Linked DNA regions of Caenorhabditis elegans. The protein of the gene in region 2 purifies or fractionates together with the protein of the main gene of each other region. This does not show direct contact. Each region holds a gene or a part of one and is shown on either strand. Other genes may lie near its edges.

The links.
Region 1: the proteins of F57H12.6 (region 2) and dgn-1 fractionate together in Caenorhabditis elegans (co-fractionation; one large-scale study listed by BioGRID). This does not show direct contact.
Region 3: the proteins of F57H12.6 (region 2) and cutl-28 fractionate together in Caenorhabditis elegans (co-fractionation; one large-scale study listed by BioGRID). This does not show direct contact.

What each region holds. Positions count from the first base shown.
Region 1 is NC_003284.9:10,924,715-10,931,423, reverse strand, and holds the start of dgn-1 (Dystroglycan 1), read left to right. Parts: upstream 1-2,425; 5' UTR 2,426-2,528; intron 2,529-3,604; exon of another isoform or gene 3,605-3,809; intron 3,810-6,709.
Region 2 is NC_003282.8:7,974,252-7,979,253, forward strand, and holds F57H12.6 (DUF148 domain-containing protein), read right to left. Parts: upstream 2,060-5,002; 5' UTR 2,046-2,059; coding exon 1,983-2,045; intron 1,801-1,982; coding exon 1,246-1,800; 3' UTR 1,203-1,245; downstream 1-1,202. Other genes in the region: ora-1 (Onchocerca Related Antigen family), read left to right, coding at 3,652-3,741, 4,038-4,424, 4,481-4,639.
Region 3 is NC_003282.8:681,883-689,993, forward strand, and holds cutl-28 (CUTiclin-Like), read left to right. Parts: upstream 1-2,614; 5' UTR 2,615-2,622; coding exon 2,623-2,793; intron 2,794-2,955; coding exon 2,956-3,100; intron 3,101-3,153; coding exon 3,154-3,277; intron 3,278-3,752; coding exon 3,753-3,895; intron 3,896-3,937; coding exon 3,938-4,085; intron 4,086-4,135; coding exon 4,136-4,266; intron 4,267-4,346; coding exon 4,347-4,407; intron 4,408-4,455; coding exon 4,456-4,567; intron 4,568-4,616; coding exon 4,617-4,703; intron 4,704-4,919; coding exon 4,920-5,236; intron 5,237-5,285; coding exon 5,286-5,376; intron 5,377-5,700; coding exon 5,701-6,261; 3' UTR 6,262-6,453; downstream 6,454-8,111.

The DNA.
Region 1 (6,709 bases), on a different chromosome or scaffold from region 2:
ATGGATATAGCTCATTGTTTTCAAAAATTTTCTTAGTTCATTATTATTTTTGGTAGTCAATTTTTCGTTTCCTAAGAATGTTTTAATTTTGATAATTAGTAGTAATTGAACAACATACTTCTCCAGTGAAGTAAATATTCGAAACAAATTGCCAAATTGTAATAATCTTGCATTTTTATTCTGTACTGCATGCACATGTCATAATATGACAAAAAATTATTTATCTGAAGTTCCGCAGGATCGGAAAAATTATGAGCGTAATTCCATTAGTTAACTAAATACAACGAGAAATTAATTTTTTATTATTGTGAACCGACCAAATCATATTATTTAAACGTTTCACTTAAATTATCTTCATTAGTGGTCAATACAGGGACGTGAGCCTCATGTGGTCGTTTTTAGCCATTGTGACCATTGGCTATTTTCCTCTCATTCCACTTTTCTTCTTTCAAAATTGCCCCACTATTCATTTGATACTCTACAATTATTATTCTCATCGTTGCAGTCTACGAATCGGATCATATAATAGTGAGACATTTGGTCAAACTGGCTTGGTCCTCGTTTTTTACTCGCTTCACTCGGAAGGTCATTTTGCTTGCTTTTTGAATGCAATTGCAAGAAATATGAAACTATATCTTTGAACCACGCAATCTTTTTTTTTGTTTTGTTTCTGTTAATTGATGACCTTGAAGAAGTATAAGAATCTTTTTCAAAAGGTATTATTATGCAGTTATATCTAAACTGTAAATTTGAAAATTCAAAGTATCTCATATTCCTATATGTACCAGTAGTTTGTATTTTAAATTTCCAATTCAAAATTTTAATATGGAAATGATGTAAACACCATTCCGATTTTATTCCATTATTTTTCTCTCAATCTCTCACTCTTTTCAATTTTACTAGAAAACAGATTTTTATTCTTTCGAATAGAAAACCCTCTACCGTTCCTGACTCACCATTCTATCTCCTCACACACCACTTTCTACGACATTGCCTAACTTTTTGTGCGTTAAGTTTAATGTGCATTTGACCTTTATCAGTTACTCGTGTCCTCTTTCCTGTCTTGATATTTGATTTCAATCACCATCGAGTAATTAGTGTATTGGACACACATACCGAGAAACCACTAACAAGAAACGCCCTGATTTTATTTTTCCTTGAATAGCAGGACGGATCGTGTTAAATTCTAAATAACGTAGGACTGGAAAAATCACATTTTTATGACAACAGGGACTTTGTCGCAAAATTTAATTAGTTCTACATTTGGCCAGGACAATGATTACCGTGGCTTTATGATCAACAACATCTAGCGTGTCTTATCAAAAGCAAAAATTGTTGGAAATCCTAATTTTCTGTTTTGTTAGACTCTATTTTATTTCTTTTGAAAATCCATTACCGTTTTATGTTTTGAATAACTTCAAAATCAAACAAAACTACAGATTGATATTTGCAATCTAATATCTTCGTTTAAATTTCAACTTTTTTAAATGTGCTCTTCGAAATTAGTAAAAAATTTGTTTTATATATTTGCAAACTTCATATAGATATGAAAATATACATATGATAAAATGAAAATAGCTGTATTCCCTTGCCACGCATATAGACGGCGCATTCAAAAACTCATTGCACTCTGGTTTTTTTTTCAGAATTTTAATTACAATGGGGGTTATATTTCATGGGAAGAGCCTTTTTGAAACTCACCGCTTTTCTTCGCTCTATTGATATTTTTGATTTCCCTCTGCGTATGCAGAAAATAGTACAAACCACACTGACATTCATTGTAGTAACTCTAACTTTTATGCCCAAGAAAAGGCAAAAAAATGGTAAGAAAAACGTTTATGAAAGCTTTCTGTTTACCTACCTTGACCATTTTCTCTTTTTCCCCTATCCTCCAACGAGTGTACACACATTTTCGGGTATAATTCATCCGAATGGTTGGTGACAAGAAAAAAAAATGCTTCAAACTGTGTGCGTATGTTTTTCTTGTCAAAACCACATTCATAGTGTGTTATCAACAAGGAGGGATGCAACAAAAGAGAAAGCGAATTTTCCAGGTTGCATTCTTCATTTCGTACTTGCTATCTCTTTCCTCTGATAACCGTTTTTTCGGCAATTTCAATACCTCCTTGATTATATTTATGAGGTATGCAACTGACAGTGTTTCTTTTTCTCTTACGATATTTATTTTCACATCAAAACTATACACATTGCTAGCTTTTTTATTCTTTTTTGAAAAACCTATATTCATCAGATCTCAGAAGTTCCAATTTGAAAGTTTCTTCAATATGTACATTATCGTAAATTAGTCTGTCAACTGATACAAATCGCTTTTTGCCAAGTTTCAAAAGGACACCCCTTTTTGAAGTTTTCCGCTCCATTTCATGTCTTGAACGTATATGTTGCAAAAGTTACTTTCGATTTTCAGAACGACAACGTGTATTGAACCGAACTTGTGATTAGAATCGAAAACGAAATTTCAATTTGGCGCACCCATTTTTTAGTCCCGGCTTATTGATAAACACATAGAGGTGAGACTTTTTTTAATGCCAGTTTCGAACGCGTGCCCGGAAGTTTTTCGAGGCATTAAAAAAATTTTCCTATGTAACTAAACAATTCTTTTAGTCTTATAAAATGTTTTACTAAATCTCGTTTCCTGATATATGTAGTTTTGTACACAGAAAACGAGATGTTTTCTTTTGTATTTGCCTGAAAAACTTATTCTGCTTCTTGGCACAAATCCAAAAAAAGCGGCGTCATGTTTGTGCATTCAAAAACACTTCAAAGGTGTACGAAGCCACAAATGTTGTGACTACTCATATGTGTACAGAGATAGGTGTTTCAAAAAAAATTTTCGTACGACTTCAGAGTGACGTCCTTATTTTGAAACATTCACTTAACTCGAAAACATCCTGGTTTTTAGGTATTATATGAATTGTCTGCTAGTTTTTTTTTTTCGAAAAACCGAGTTTTTTCTCTAAATAACCTAAATCTTAACAAAAAATGTTGTTTTCCGTTCTTCACGTTTTTCGGTTTTTCAATTTTGCGGTGTGGGTCAAAAAGCCGAAAAACCCAAAAAATCGAAAAAAAATTAGGGTCCAGTTTGAAAAAGTGCAATTTATGTATGTTGTTTGTATGAAATAGGGCGTCATCAGTAATAAAAATATTGCATTCTGTATAAAAATACCGATTTTGGAGTGTTTTCAGAATTTGTTTTTGCAGTTTTCTCAAAAGCGAAAATTTCCGTTTTTCAGTTTTTTGAAGAACCAAAAAATCGAAAAAAGTTTTGGCGCACATAAAATGTTTTGTTATTCTCAAAAAATTTCGTCCCTACTAAATTTTACTCAACAATGTTCGTCTTCGCAATTCTCAAAAGAAACAAAGTGGCCCAAGATCTTACGTCAATCAAAACATTCAAAAGACTAGAATAAGAAGGCCCACTGTTTTTATAATCTTGTTTTTACACTCACTTAGCAAATCCGGCACTCTTTGTTCGGTTGCTAATAAGGTGTCAAAGTGACAATTGAAACCCCTCTGAACTGACTCAATAAAAGATAAGATGGAAAATAAATCGAATCTCCGTTTTCAATATGTTTCGGTCGGTTTCTTCTATTTATATGCAAAATTCATTCGAGACACCATACCAAAAGCTCCCGTGGGAGCTGGCCTTCTTATGTCGGTCGGTTCATGGTCCGTAGGGAGTGTCGGAAGGACGGAAGACCACGAAGGAAACGTCTTTGTTTGTACGGATCGCTTATTTATTATGCAGATTGAATATTGGCCACCGCTTCGTTCTTCATCTGTGTTCGGCTTTATTAGACTGCTCAAATGTTGCATGCCATTTTCCTCCTCCTCTCTCTTCGTAGCCGTAACGTATCGCATGTCCATTTCTGATTAGCTCTCGTCATCCGTTCTTCTTTCATCCTTATAAATATCACCATCCGTCTTGAATTGACCAAGAAAAATTGTAATTGTTCCAAACGGACCCGCATTGTACGTCTGAACACCCAGTCATTAGGCTTATCTTCCAATCGTTGCCTCCTCGTTTGCTCCATCCTGCACACACCTGGCCACAGGTACGGTGACGCAACTTTATGAGGTTGAGCCGACCAAATAGGACCATCTCCGTCCTTCCCCACATTTTTCGCCTCTCACTTTATATGTTTGGTCAACAGGGCTTGCCTCGTGCTTGACCCTACCCATACGCACAACTTTCTCTTTTTTGCTGAGGAAACTTTTTTGACGCGGGGTTTTTTACTCGAAATCTACGCTATCCAAATCTGATTTCTGTCCAAACGTCCTTGTCCATTCCTTGACTCTTCTCAATTTGATGATATGTGATGGAATCGTGCCCCCATTTGTGTGCCATCTCTTCAACGCAGGAGCTCTTTTATGTCGTTACAAGCATCTGCTTCAACGCGCGCAGCTGCACACAGTGCCATTTCTTGCCCTCGTTGTCGCGTCAAAAGTATTGCACAATACGGATAGATTACATAAGGAAATCTGTATTCAATCAGATGGTTTACGATCTGCCCGGTGGTGAATAGATATTTTCAACAGCTTATGAGAAAATCGGCTCCAAATTAATATGAATACGGTCACATTGAATAACTGAATTTATGATCTAACATTTTGAATTAACTAAATTTGCACTTCTCTGATTATGCTTATATAGTTTAAAGATTTTACCGCAACATTACAAACTTTTAATCCTCTAGTCTGATAATGATTTATGTCCGCTTCATTGTGAGCGACCAAAAAACTTTAGCTTGTTCACAGGAGTGTGCTTCAGGAATTTTTCAATTAATCTCTTGTGATATCACTTTCTTTTTTTTTGCTCTTACACCAAATATTTTTTTGGAAAAATTGTCAAAATTGACTTAATGGAAGCTGGTGGCTGAAAAATATTTGAGGAATGATTCATGATTTACCGTTTCATTTTTTTATTAAAAAACAAAAGTCTAATACTTTTGGTTCCTGTCAACATGGGGATCCGGACAATGAGAATGAGACGAACGCGCTGACTACTAGCAGTCGAAGTACGAAACCAGAACAATAGGCGTGTTAGTCTCAGTTTTAGCAGTACGTTTTGTCTCCGGTGTTCCCGTGTTAGAAGTGTATACAATTACCCTTTGCACAGTGGCTGTCGATTCAAGCAATTCGAGAACGTTAAGCCAGGTAATCCATGCCTAATAGATGGCAAACGGCACCCATCATCATCCTCATCGTTCATTTAATTAGCACGTTCGTTTCATCTTCAATACGTTCCTCACTGGACGTTAATCCAACCAATTTCGCGCACGGAAAGGTGTCAGAACAATGAACTGAGACGATCATTTCTCACTGGGTTTTTGTGTGTTCTTTTTGTGAAATAAGGTAATCCTCAGTCACAGGTTGTCAACGGAGCACTAGTGTCAGTCAAATGTACACCTGCTCTCATTTTTCTCTTTCTTGTGTCACCATCTCGTCTCACGTCTTCAATCTTTTTACCTTCCGTATGTCCCACAGATTCCCAGGATTACCGCTCTCGACGACAATTATGCGATCTCGAAAATGTCGTGAGGGCATTGTTAGGCATATCTGAACAGCCTCAGTCGGTATTACCTTGTCGACGGCGCGCATCTTCGGAGAACAGTAAGAACTATATTTTGCGAGTTGTATGGGCCGCCTTTCGCCTAATTATGCTCGTATACATCGTTCTAATTACTATAATTATATTGTATTCCATATTTTATCCAAATGGCTAGTAGAGTTCTATACCCTTTCTTTTTATTATAGGAAAAATTGATACTTGAGAAAATGTAATTTAAAACTGAAGTTACAATAATATTTAGAAAATTAGTTTTACTCCTGCTCAAAATTCAACAATTTGAAAAATAAAAATATTTTATCTTCATAAATAAATACTATTTATGACTTGACTTGAAAAACGCATTCATCTACCCAGAATTAAAAAAAAACAAAATTTTTTGTTTAATGTCTAGTTTTTTAGAAGTGTTTTAGAAAAAACTTTGCCGTTGTATATGAATTTTAAAGTTGTTCTTCTTCTACCGACATGGTTTTCAATTTTATATTCGAATGTTTCTTCTCTTCTCCCTATATTACTTTATCACTCTCCTTTCTTCAATGAAAGATGTGTGAACGGTTAATAAGGGTCATCCAACAAAAAACGCAATATTTGCACTACAATTGATTTGTAACTCTTTCCTTTGCACCTCTGCTCTTATTCACCTTTTTTCTCTACCTTGCTTCACACACTTTGAATATCAATGTAACCGTATATTTGATTCTCTCATTTGCTAATTTCCTTCCGTATTCATATCATTATACAGTGTATAGACTCCTTGCTCAAAGGCCTGCAAGAGTACAATTGTTTATAAAAATGCAAAAAGGGAGCTGAGTTAAGAAGAGCCATAAACCGTACGCGAGAAGGCAAGTAGCGAGAAGCCGCCAACAGACTGTAGCTTTTCGCGGACTCCATTATGCCGACGTGTGACCATCTGTTGATTCTAATGATGAGATGACAGACAGGCACATGTTGCTTTTAGAATCTGCTTCTTAATGGTACCGCTCGTGCAGAAAGTGTGATGTGATTGTAAATCGTAGTCGTCTGATTATTTGAGTCTTATATTTAAAGTCCTTCGCACAGTGTTTGGAAGCATAGTTGTAAAACGTGAGACTGCTGTAGAGGTCAAATGTGTTCAATTTTTCT
Region 2 (5,002 bases):
TTGTCGCAAATTAGAGGAAGTTAGAAAATCATTCTATTTATTTGGATCTTATCATTAAAAGGTAGAGGAGGTCATTCAAGGCCGAAAAAATACAAAAAAGAAATATCCTTGAGGAGAAATACGAATAAAAAGAAACGGATACCGTATTTCTTCTATTAATATGGCTGCAATACTATTTTTCGATGGTCTTCCCGCTTGCAATACTAATAGGGAGTGCAAGACTATTAGGGAGTGCAATACTAATTTTCAGAACATTTTTTTGACTTTGAGCTTACTAGTTTTTTTCTGAAAAAGCTCGAATCTTTATGTAAAAATTCAGAAAATTTGATTTTAATTGTAACATATAAGTTCAACAACTTCAATCTCGTAGAAATTTTGTGAAAAACTGTAGCAAAATAGGCAATTTTTTTTGTTGAAATCCTGAAATTAACGAGACGGGCCTGCAATAAAAAAGAGTAAACGCAAGACTATTATGGTGCGTCCATAGTCTGCGGAAAACGGGAATTTCCCGCGTGCGGAAGCGTCCATAGTCTGCGGAAAAACCGGAGTTCCTCGCTTTTTTTTCCTCAAAATTCAAAAAAGTAGGCGTGGCCAACCAATCAGCTGTTGTTTCTTGTTTTCCCATTGCTCAGCTTAAAATTTTACAGCCTCTAATTGGTTGAACACGCCCACTATTTTGAAATTGACCAATAACAAAGCGAGAAACTCCTTGTTTTTTTCCGCAGACTATGGACGCTTCCGCACGCGGGAATTTCCCGTTTTCCGCAGACTATGGACGCACCATTAGAGAGTGCAAGACTAATAGGGAGTGCCATACTAATTTTCGGAAGGTCTCCGAGGGGCAACACTAATAGGGAGTGCAAGTCTAATAGGGAGGCAATATTAATAGAAGATATACGGTATTCTATTAAAACTGGTATTGGTTACTGTTATGTTTGCAATAATTGAGAATAAAATAACAATATTAATAATATGAACTCGGCATTTAGAAAAAACCTGAACTTTAAAAATTTTTACTTTTTGAGAAGTTGTCAGATCTAAGACCTCTTTTTTTCTTCTGATACATGGAAGAACCCAATTTATGATAAAATAAGGGACAACTGGGATATGACCTGTCAAGTTTGACTTTAATTGTTGCCACGCGCTTTCAAGTTTTTAAAGTAATCATGCTTCGGAGTAATTCTAATTAAATTTTATTAATTAAGCAATGAAAAATTTATAAAATAATTATTACAAATGATACATTTAGTGCTTTCCTCCACGATGTCCTCCTCTGAAATGTGGACGACTCTTCCACAAATCGAAAAGTTCTTCCTTGGCCTTTTCGCTGAGATCTCCAAGAATTTCAAACTTCTGCTTGTTCAATGCTTCAATCTTTTCATGTGCCTTCTTTGCTTCATCAGACAATTTTGTTTCCTTCTCCTTGTATTCCTTATCTTCCTTTTCCTTCTTCTCCTTGAACTCCTTGAATTTCTTCAAGTTATCTCCATCAAGTTCCTTCTCAGCAAGAGCTTCAATCTTTTCTGGCTTCTCACTCCATGGAACTGATCTGTCCTTGAAAATAGCTTCGAATTTTGCAAGTTTGTCTTTTGGAAGTCCCTTAAGGAATGGAAGAGTTGGTCTTTTGTGAAGATTTTTGCGAGCATCCTTTGGAAGAGAATCGATAACTTCACGAGTCAATCCTTGTTCCTCATAACACTTATCTCCTTCTTTGTAATCCTTCCAGATATCATTAATCTTTTCCTGGGCATCTTCTGGAAGACTGTCCAAGAATGGTGGAATTCCACAAGGTGGAGATCTCTGGAAAAAATTCGTTGATAATTGAAAGGATCGCAAGACTGTAAAGGCCTAAAAGCTATTCTACACTTTCATCCGATAAAGATTTCGGAATCTTTCATTCTCAAGTTCAAAACATTTATTTTTCAATGTCTAGCTAGAAAAAACAAAAAACAGCGCATAAATTGAATAGAAATAAAACTTACTCTTCCTCCAGGCTTTGCCTGAACTGAAACAATAGCTAGTAGAATAGCGAAAAGAATCTTCATGGCTGAAGATGACTGACTTCAATATCAAGAGTTGGAGATTTTATACCCAATTTACCGTCTCGGCGAATACAATAACATTGGAGGCGTAGACATAGAATGAGATGAAGAATAATGATAAATTCATTTGGAACAGATCTTTTGATTTGGTCATCGTTGTGTGTGGGTTTGGAAAAGGTTGACAACTGAAGATGTGTGGAGTGTTTTTTTGAATTAAAACATTTTGAAGATAGTGGAAGAAGTCAGAAGAAAATAAATCATTTGAAAGAAACATCAAGTTTAAAAGTAGTTCCCTCATTTTAAATTGAACTTATCAAGAGACATCGGAGTCAGGTAAATTATATAGTTTCTAATCTGAAAGCAGAACATTTCCAACTGATCTTGCTCTCTTTTCCCGCTGTTTGGCGCACACTTGGCATTGGAAGATTGTGCTCAAAATGTCCAGGTTGTCTTTTCATCGAGCTTTTGCCAATATTCGGAAAAGATTGGCCAGAATTGATAACAGAGGCTTATCCAAATCCTGCACAAGCTTTACCAAAGACTTTCCAAGTTTTCAACCAGATTATTATCTTTTTGGGTTGATTTGCTAGGTTGGCGCCAAACGCCTGGAGATATTGGTTGACCTATAATATAAAAATTGATAACTAATAAGACACAAATTGAACATTTTTTGTTTACAGAAAAACATGTTTCGATTGATGCAAATTCTACAATCACATTGAACATTTGAGGATTAATTTCTAAATGCTGTTGGTGTATTTTATCTCGAATATTTCATTTTCCAGTTTCTCACCAAACCTTTTCCAAACCATTTCATTCTTTGTTCAAATCACATTCAATTCCCATTGTTTTAGCCAAATCAAAGCAATTTGCTGAGACTGAAACTTTTAATATAAATTTAACATTTTAACAATACAAAATATTTTATACTGTTCAATTCAGATATTCGACCAATTTTTCATGTTTCATTTTTAGAATATTTTGACAAAATCCCAAGTGGCGCTTCTCCAACAACCGTAGTTTTTAGACAGGGTAGAACATGTTATGTAAATGAAAATACATTAAAGTCAATTGTGTTTTTTGTTTCACTATATTTTTTAAAGTTTGTTCATTATCAATAACTTTTCAATGTCACTTTCAACACATTTTTCTTGTTGGCATACACTGCACGTTGATCATCAAAGTTCAATTGAATTCAAAAAATGATTCTTGTTTCAATTTCTATCAACTTGTTCTTTCTGTAGAACTGGTGATGATCTTCTTAGATGAAACTGAACTATTACAAAATTGACCACACAGTCATTCAAATCTTCTTTGGTCTTCGTCGAATCTTTAAAATGAATGACATCATCAGCAAGTTGTCATAATGAAAGTGAATAGCTGTTATCTCCTTTCTTTTGTCGAGTGTATTTTTCTTCGAACGGCAAAAAATGATATGTACCGAACGGAAAAATGGGCGGCGCCTTCCAAAACAACAACAACCGCTGAGATCAGCATCAAAATCGGAGAAAGGGGGTATGTTTGAGTACAGAGCACTGTTTGGCGAAGGGTTCGGTTTCTGAATGGTATAAAAGGACAAGAATTTGGATGAAAAGGACATCATTCAACAATGATTTCTAATATCTTTAAAATCTCAGCTGCTCTTCTTCTTTTGACTATTGTATCTGAAGCTAAGCCTTGCTTCGGAAGATGTGGAGGTGTAAGTTTTTCTTCTTTTTTTTTAATTTCCAAAAATTCTGACAATTTAAAAAAGCTTTTATTTTAGGTTTAATTTTTTGGTTTAATTTAAGGTTTAATTTTTTAAATGCTACATACATTTTACCAAAATTCAAATATTCGAAATTGAAAAATCCAACCTAAATTTAAATTTCGTTTTATGCTCAAGAAATTTCATAGAAGTTTCTACTTTAATCAGCCGCTAAGTGCAAATTAATGAACTGTATTTCCTATTTTAATAGCCATATAAAACTCCGTCTCAAACTACAAACATTCCAGCGTCCACCACCACCATGCGGACTTCCACCATTCCTTGAGGATCTTCCTTCTGATGTTCAAACCAAGATAACTGAAATCTGGAAAGATTACAAAGAAGGAGACAAGTGTTATGAAGAACAAGGATTAACTCGTGAAATCATGGAATCTCTTCCAAAGGATGTTCGTAAGAGCATTCACAAGAGACCACCACTTCCATTCCTTCGTGGACTTCCAAAGGACATCCTTGCCAAGTTTGATGCTATTTTCAAGGATAAGTCAATCCCATTCAGTGAGAAGCCAGAGAAGATTGATGCTCTCGCTCAAGAAGTTCTTACTGGAGATAACTTGAAGAAATTCCAAGAATTCAAAGAGAAAAAGGAGAAGGAAATGCAAGAGTACAAAGACAAGGTAAGAATAAAAAAAAAGATTTTTACTCAAAAGGATGTTGAATATCATTCTTTCAGGAATCGAAGCTCTCCGCAGCTGCCAAGGTAGCCAACGAGAAGCTTGAAGCTCTCGGAAAACAAAAGTTTGCAATCCTCGAAGAACTTGATGAGAACGTGAAGGATGAGCTTTTCGATTTGTGGAAGAGCCGTCCTCATGGACCACCAAGACATCACTAGACGATAATTTGACAGCGATTTTTGTAAATATCTATGACAGAATTTTATTCATTCCCGATTTCCCGATCACTTTTAATTTATATTGAAAAATACATATATTTAAGATTGAATAATAAAGATTTCTATAAAAACTTTTGTGTACAAATAATAATTGGTTCCCAAATCTAAAGATGGAATAGTAAAGATATTATTAAAATATACGTAAATTGGGCGAAAAACATTCTGAATTTTTAAATTTTCAAATGTTTAAAACATGGTTTTGATAAATTTCCAAATTTTCCAAAGTGTTTGAATTTTTGAGCTAAAACTCAAGAATTGCTCCAAACTTAAACCTACAATGTGTAAATACAAATTTCAAAAAAG
Region 3 (8,111 bases), 7.3 Mb from region 2:
TTCAATTTGATTTACGAGATTCAGTGTAGATTTACGAGATATGCGTCCAAATTTACCACATACGTTCGATTTAGTGTAGATTTACGCGATTTTGGGTTTATTTACAAGATATTGTGTAGATTTACGAATATACATAGGTGTAGATTTACATGGATATTATGTAGATTTACGTAGTTTTGTGTACTTTTTTAAAAGATTTTTTGTAGATTTACAAGGTTTATTGTAGATTTACCTGAGCTCACCATCAGAAATATTTACAAAGTTCTGCGTTTACCGAAGTGATTGTATATTTTCGAGGATATTTGTAGATTTACGGTATGGTTTTTTTCGTAGTCTAGTGGCAAATATACATTATTTCCAGGACACCTATTCTCATAACCTACTTGATTCTTTTTTCAATGTTTTCCAATCAAGCGAATCACCGGATCAGATAATTCCAGTTGATCCGGAACCTTTTCCGCCACCGCCCGTCGGATAATCTCTCTTCAACAGCTTGTCACTTTCTTTTCGGATTGTCTCATCGTTTTTGTTGTTTTTTTTTTTGCGCGCACATCTTTATTGTTTCATAAATCCACCAATTGGTTCTCTGCTGGACGCTGTGATAGAGTGTGTGTGAGATTTGAAGAGATGCAGAGAGAGAGTCAAGAGGGGCGTAGATATATTCCCGAGAATAATGTGTGTTGAATTGAGATTAGTGAAAACAAAATATGCAGAAGAAATCGAAATATGCATAGAATATTATTCAAATGTTCATGTTTTGTGTAGATTTACGTCAGTTTAGTGTAGATTTACAAAGCTTGATGTAGATTTACAAGTTGACCAACAGAATTTTGTGTAGATTTATAAATTTTTATGTGTATTTACGTGGTCTTTTGAATAGGTTTTTGAATTTTTTTTGTAGTTTTCATTGTCGATTACAAGGGTTTGTGTAGATTTACGAGATTTCTGTTTATTATTACGATATTTTTGTAGATATACGTGTGTTCATGTAAATTTGCTAGATTTTTAGTAGATTTTAGGGCCTTCTTGCATATTTAAGGAGTTTGAATTTTGTGTACTCCCTTATACTGCCAGCCGTCTCCTCATTGTGCTTGTTCAGCTGCCTGCCACTTTCGCCTCTCGCTATCTCTTTCATTTCTCTCCTTTTTTTTAATGGCACCGATTACACTGCATTCCCGTGTCCTCGGTAGTATAGTGGTGAGTATCCGCGTCTGTCACATGCGAGACCCGGGTTCAATTCCCGGCCGGGGAGAACCTTTTTTGCACAATTCTATCAACAGGTTGCCCAGCTGGGATATGTGACCTGAATCCCATGAAGCTTCACAGCGTCAGTTGGACAAAACTTTCACCTACTTCCGTGTAACCGTCACTTTCGATTCTGTGCCCTTTTGATTCTCCAGTATGTTTGCGTCTCTCAGGCGGCGGCCTGCTATTATCGTCGGCTGGCCGCTGCTGGTCATTTAGTGTCCGGCATGTTTGCTTACCGCCGAAACGATAGATATATGTCTACTGTTTTCCCGTTTTGGGGTGGTAGGTAGAAGCCAAACCACTTACCTGGTATGTCATTAAACCATGAATATAGGAGTTAAAAACAAATTTTTTGGTGTTTTGTGTAGATTTACTGAGCTGTGTTGTTATATACGAGATTTTGTGTGGATTTACGTGGCGCCTTGTAGATATACGAAGTGTTAATGTAGATGCTACCAATTTTGTATATTTACAGAATTTCTGAAGGTTTATGACGGTTGTGTAGATTCAGGTGGTTTCTTGCAGGTTTACCATTTTTTATATATATCTAAAAATTTTCATTTAGACGTACTGAGTTTTGTGTAGATTTACGAGGATTTTTAAAATTTGAAGTTCCAAATTTTTTTTTTTTGGAAATTTTGAAGTCAAAAAAAAATTTTAATCCAAACTCTACAAACAATTAGAACGCCCGTTTCTCTCCATTTCGAATAACTCATGCTAGTCGTTTGTAACCCCATAACATGTTTAAACCGACGATGCGCCTACCCTCCTCACCGCCCTTCCGACTGCTGGTGTCCATTAATTAACCTGCCGGAACGAATGCAACTTTAAACTTTTCCTGTCCAAGTTCCGTTTCACTTTGCATACATCTTCGAAATAGCTTGACTTTTTGAGGTTTTTTACGTTTGAATTTTCAAAAAGAGTTCCATTAGCTCAGTTTTTGTTCGAACGTTGTGATAACTTTGCCAAACGTTTTCCTATTTTTTGTCAAACTTTGTGATATTTCTGTAGAAAGTTTTTCCATTTCTGACCACTCAAACTTTGACAGCTTTCTGTCAAACGTTGTCCAATTGCAAGAGCAATTCATCGTATTACGCCTCAACCTTCTGTAGAAGTTTGTCATACTTTTGTCGAACGTTTTCATCTTTCTGTCGAACTTTAAACTATTCCAGGAAGACTCATAAATGCCGCCTAGGGTCTTCCTCAGAACTAAAACTTGTTCAGTTTTCTTTTTCTAGGTCTGCATAAATCTAGAAATAGAGAAATAAATGGAAATCCTACAAACACTAACAAACAGACATTTCCCGTCTTTCCGTACTTTTCCATATCCAAGCTTTTTCCTTACAACTTCCTCTTTTTTTTCCAGGTGATGCCATGAAATATCCCTTTCTCCTGATTCTTATTCTGTCAACACTCCCGTCTACAGTATCACCATGTGAGATCACTTTTATCTTGGAGACTTTGAAATCCGTAAACTCCACTGCAAGTCTTATTATTCGAAAATCTGTGGATAGTCTATCACAATGCACCAGGTTTTGCTCATCGGTAAGCTTTTTTGTCTTGCGGCTGACGTTTCGCGGGATGTGCCGGCATTCTAGTTCAACTTAAAGGGAGCTGGGATCTAGCCTCCTTGGAAGCCATATAGCAACTAGTAGCTAATTCCCTGGCTAATATAATTTCACTAAACGACCGAAAAACTCTCGTCAGGTACCAAACTGCACGCATTTCACTTTCTCGAACGCCGAACCCATTGAAAAGAAGAACGGTGGTTTCAATTGCCATCTTCACTCGAAGTCACCCGTCTTAACGACATCTGGATCTCGGACGGTAGGAACGAAAACTTGTTTGGAAAGTGAGTAATTGACGGCGAGGTGGTCATTTTGACTTTCACCCCTTTAATTTCAGATAAATGTTTGAAGAGAAGTTTTGCGTTTGAAAAGTTCCCAGGGAGGTCGTTGGTCAACTCATCGTTTATTATCAAGACATTTTCGATTTCGATGGAAGAATGCTTGTCACAGTGTCAGAAAGAGTTAGTTTTTAATAATATACCTTAAAAACCGCAAAAAGTGAAAAAGGGATAAAGTTGAAAAATTATTTTTTCGTTTTTTTTCTAGAAAATTAGTTTAAAATATTTTTTGAGTTCGATGCAGTTTTATAACATATTTTTAAATTCAAAATAATTTCTGAATTTTAAAATTATATGTTGTGATGATGGAAACAATTTGAAGTCTATTGAAGAATTTTCTTTGTAAAAAATCTGAAATTTTCTGATCGAAAACTTATCATCAAATTTTATTTTTCAAAATAAATGTAAAAAAAGTTCCTACATACATAAAACTTTTCATTTTGGAATTAAAAACTTAAAAAAAAAAGTGTGTTCTGTTTTGTTAAACTTCGATGCGTTAAAAAATTTTACTGTTTTTTAAATAATATTCTGGAAATATTCAAAAAATTAAAAATCTTTTCAAGACATTATTTTAAATTTCAGTCAATTTTTTTCTCAGGTCATCTTGTCGTGCTGCTCTGCACAACAATGACACCTCGTTATGCCAGTTATCCAGAGTATCCCTTAACTCTGTGTACAATCCAAGACTATACTTCAAAGCAAGCTATTCTGTGGATCTTTATGAAAACAATTGCGTTGATTGTAGGTCAATTTTTTTTGCACAAAAAATTCCGAAATTTTCAGATGCGATGACGTCATCAGCGTGTACATTTATGCGTGTCAACGGGGGTGGGCTGAAATCGGTCAGTGATCAGTTGATTCAAAATGTTGGAAGTTTTGATGAATGTGAACAAATGTGTGTGATAAGAAGTCGCATTTCAGATGTTTGCAGGTTTGTTGAAGGCTTAAACTATTATCTGTAAAAGCTGAAATTTTTTTCAGATCCTATACCTATGACAACTCAACCAACGAATGTAACTTAATGTGGGCATCTGCTAGAATGCTAGGAAGAAGCCCGCTGGAATCAATGAAGCCGAATTTGTTTCATGGTGATTTGGATGATTGTGTTAATTGTGAGTAATTTTTTCGATGAACAATGGTATTTTCTTAAATTTTTCATCTGAAAACTCGTGGAAAATTTGAAAATTTTCAGTCTCTCTAAAATGCCGCGAGGACAATCTGGAAGTCAAAGCTAGCTCGATGAGAATGTTCATGTAAGCTTACCCCAAAAAAAAATTTTTCCAAAATTATGTACGCTTCAGCGGAAAAATGATGACTAAAAAGTCAAAGAAAATAATGTGTCAAGAAGATTACGAGGGGAACTACGATTTTTCGTCAAAGTTTGACTTTAAAAAGTGTGGACTTGATCCTAACGTAAGTTTTCAGGATTTTTGAGAATTATCAGAATAATTGAAAGTTGCAGAAATCCAAAGATTCTACATATCGGGGTATGGTGCATGTGAAGGAAGGGAGCACGAGTTTGGTGACTATAAGGGACAAAGTTTTGCAGGTAGGCCATTGAAACATGCTTAGGCTTTGGCTTAGGCGTAGGCGTATGCTTAGGCTTAGACTGAATTCTTCTTACATTAGGATGAAGACTATTCCAATATTCGAAGCTTTCTATGAAAACATTAAGCCGTAAACTTCGGTGATTGCAGACCCGGCAGGTGTCTGGCGTGTATTTTTTCAACAAGCAGAATAAAGTGAAAAATTTACAATTTTTCAGGTCAACTGCCGTCTTCACAAAAGTATGCCATCGGAAGAGCAATTCCTATCTGTTCAAATGAATGTTCGTGAGAATAATAAGACAAATCAAGTAATGTCAGATGTTGTCGTTGTCACAGCCCCACCTGCCCAAACAAACCCTAAATTCTCTCTGAAAATCCTCGGATTAGATTCAACAGAAGCCGATACAGTTCACATTGGTGACTATGGATGGATTATGCTTGCCGTTAAGAACTCGGCTGAAGATTTTACAGTTACTAATTTAGTGGCGAAGGATGTTCAGACGGGTCGCGTGTTACGCATCATCGATGAGGATGGGTCAGCTGACAGGAAAAATACCTAACCGTAAATGTTTGACCTATTTCAGTTGTGTTCTCCGGCGGGATATTGTGAAAGAAATTCGGAAGACAGATAACTATGTCAAATTGAAGATTAGTTTTTCTGGATTTAGACGACAGGTTTGTGTTTATTTTACGTTGGGGTTTTTGTGGGATTTTGCTTTAACATACAGAAAATCTGAGGTAATGACCTGATATCACAGTAAAAATTGTTTTTTTGGCGCTTCTGACTCAATTTAAAGTTTCTGCTAGAATGTGTCTCTCGGAAAATTTGAACTTTCCGTTTAACATTCCTTGAGAAGTTGTGATTTCTTTCGCCATGACTTTTCTAAAAAGAAATGTAGAATTTCCGGCCAAATTTTTTTGTTCTGAAAAAACTTTAACTTCTCGCTTAAAGTTTTAAAGTCTAAAAATGATACAAAGTCTAAAGTAACATTTTTTTAGACTGAAGTGGTGTACCATGCAATGATGGAGACATGTACAGTTGGATGCATGCCAAAATGTAATCAAGACATGATGCTTCCTGAGGAGGAGACCAACGTTCATTCCCTCCCCTTATCACTGGATCTTCCACGACATCGTATGGTCCGAAGGTCTCTGGCCGGGGAGCCGAGGGAGCTGCAATTGACAAGTGATGTATATAAAGTAACTGGACACAAATTGACACTTCTGAATCCTCCTTCACCAAAGCAATTCGACTTCCCAGCTCCCAAGTCAGACTTCGAGTTCAATGACAACGGAGAGTTCCACGAAGGAGATGTGATCGTTGTGAAGCATTCTCCAAATCTTTGGACAAGTGTGAAGCATTGTCTTATTGATGACGTCACGTGTATGCTCACAGTGGTTCTGGGAGCTATTCAGATGTTTCTCATGTTCTCATGTTTTCTAATTATGTATTGTTATTACCAGCAGTGGAGATTTTATAGGGAACTCAACAGACCTCAAGAGCACAACGTACAGTATTACACAACTTCTAAACCGGAAGAAAACACCAGAGACACCTAGATATTACCGGTAACTCATTATGCTTTTATATTGTTTTGAAATTAATGCACCTCGGGTTTACAAATTCGCTTTTGTTTTTGTCTTTCTTCAGTTTCCAGTGCAATTTTATCCAATGTCTTTCATTTTGCCAAAGCGTACAAAACTTCCAGTTTGACATTTTCATTTTCTCAGTTTAAATAAATATTCCAAATTCATGAGTACACTTTTATTCACAAGTTAAAAAAAAGAAAGACAATCTAATACAAGTACATGTGCTGATTTGGTGCTCTTTTCTTTGAGCTCACTATACGAACAGCTGGGCACTCTGAGTTGGCCGGTTTCGGACGGAATGAGCTTTTTTGTTCAGTCAGGTACTCCGTTGGAAACGACATTCCTGCAGTGATCCACTTTTCCACTGGAACTGACAATGACATTCGTTCGATGGGAAATTGGGTGTATGTCAATCTGAAAATAATTCGGAGAATTGCAGAATTAGGGAATTGTTTCAAAGTACATCACAAATAAACTCACCTTGATACGGATTGATCTGTCACTTTCCCTGATCCGAATTCAAGAGTCGTCCCATGCTTGATTATATTTGACCTATCACCAACTCCACCTTGATATGTCGAACGATTGATAGTTTGGGAATCAAGAGAATCAGTTGGACGATCAATTCCATCTTTGGGTCTTGCTGCAGCATATCTTTCTCCAGTACCACCTTGATATGTCGAACGATTGATAGTTTGAGAATCAAGAGAATCAGTTGGACGATCAATTCCATCTTTGGGTCTTGCTGCAGCATATCTTTCTCCAGTACCTCCCTGATATGTCGAACGATTGATAGTTTGAGAATCAAGAGAATCAGTTGGACGATCAATTCCATCTTTGGGTCTTGCTGCAGCATATCTTTCTCCAGTACCTCCCTGATATGTCGAACGATTGATAGTTTGAGAATCAAGAGAATCAGTTGGACGATCAATTCCATCTTTGGGTCTTGCTGCAGCATATCTTTCTCCAGTACCTCCCTGATATGTCGAACGATTGATAGTTTGAGAATCAAGAGAATCAGTTGGACGATCAATTCCATCTTTGGGTCTTGCTGCAGCATATCTTTCTCCAGTACCTCCCTGATATGTCGAACGATTGATAGTTTGAGAATCAAGAGAATCAGTTGGACGATCAATTCCATCTTTGGGTCTTGCTGCAGCATATCTTTCTCCAGTACCACCTTGATATGTCGAACGATTGATAGTTTGAGAATCAAGAGAATCTGTTGGACGATCAATTCCATCTTTGGGTCTTGCTGCAGCATATCTTTCTCCAGTACCACCTTGATATGTCGAACGATTGATAGTTTGAGAATCAAGAGAATCTGTTGGACGATCAATTCCATCTTTGGGTCTTGCTGCAGCATATCTTTCTCCAGTACCACCTTGATATGTCGAACGATTGATAGTTTGAGAATCAAGAGAATCTGTTGGACGATCAATTCCATCTTTGGGTCTTGCTGCAGCATATCTTTCTCCAGTACCACCTTGATATGTCGAACGATTGATAGTTTGAGAATCAAGAGAATCTGTTGGACGATCAATTCCATCTTTGGGTCTTGCTGCAGCATATCTTTCTCCAGTACCACCTTGATATGTCGAACGATTGATAGTTTGAGAATCAAGAGAATCTGTTGGACGATCAATTCCATCTTTGGGTCTTGCTGCAGCATATCTTTCTCCAGTACCACCTTGATATGTCGAACGATTGATAGTTTGAGAATCAAGAGAATCTGTTGGACGATCAATTCCATCTTTGGGTCTTGCTGCAGCATATCTTTCTCCAGTACCACCTTGATATGTCGAACGATTGATAGTTTG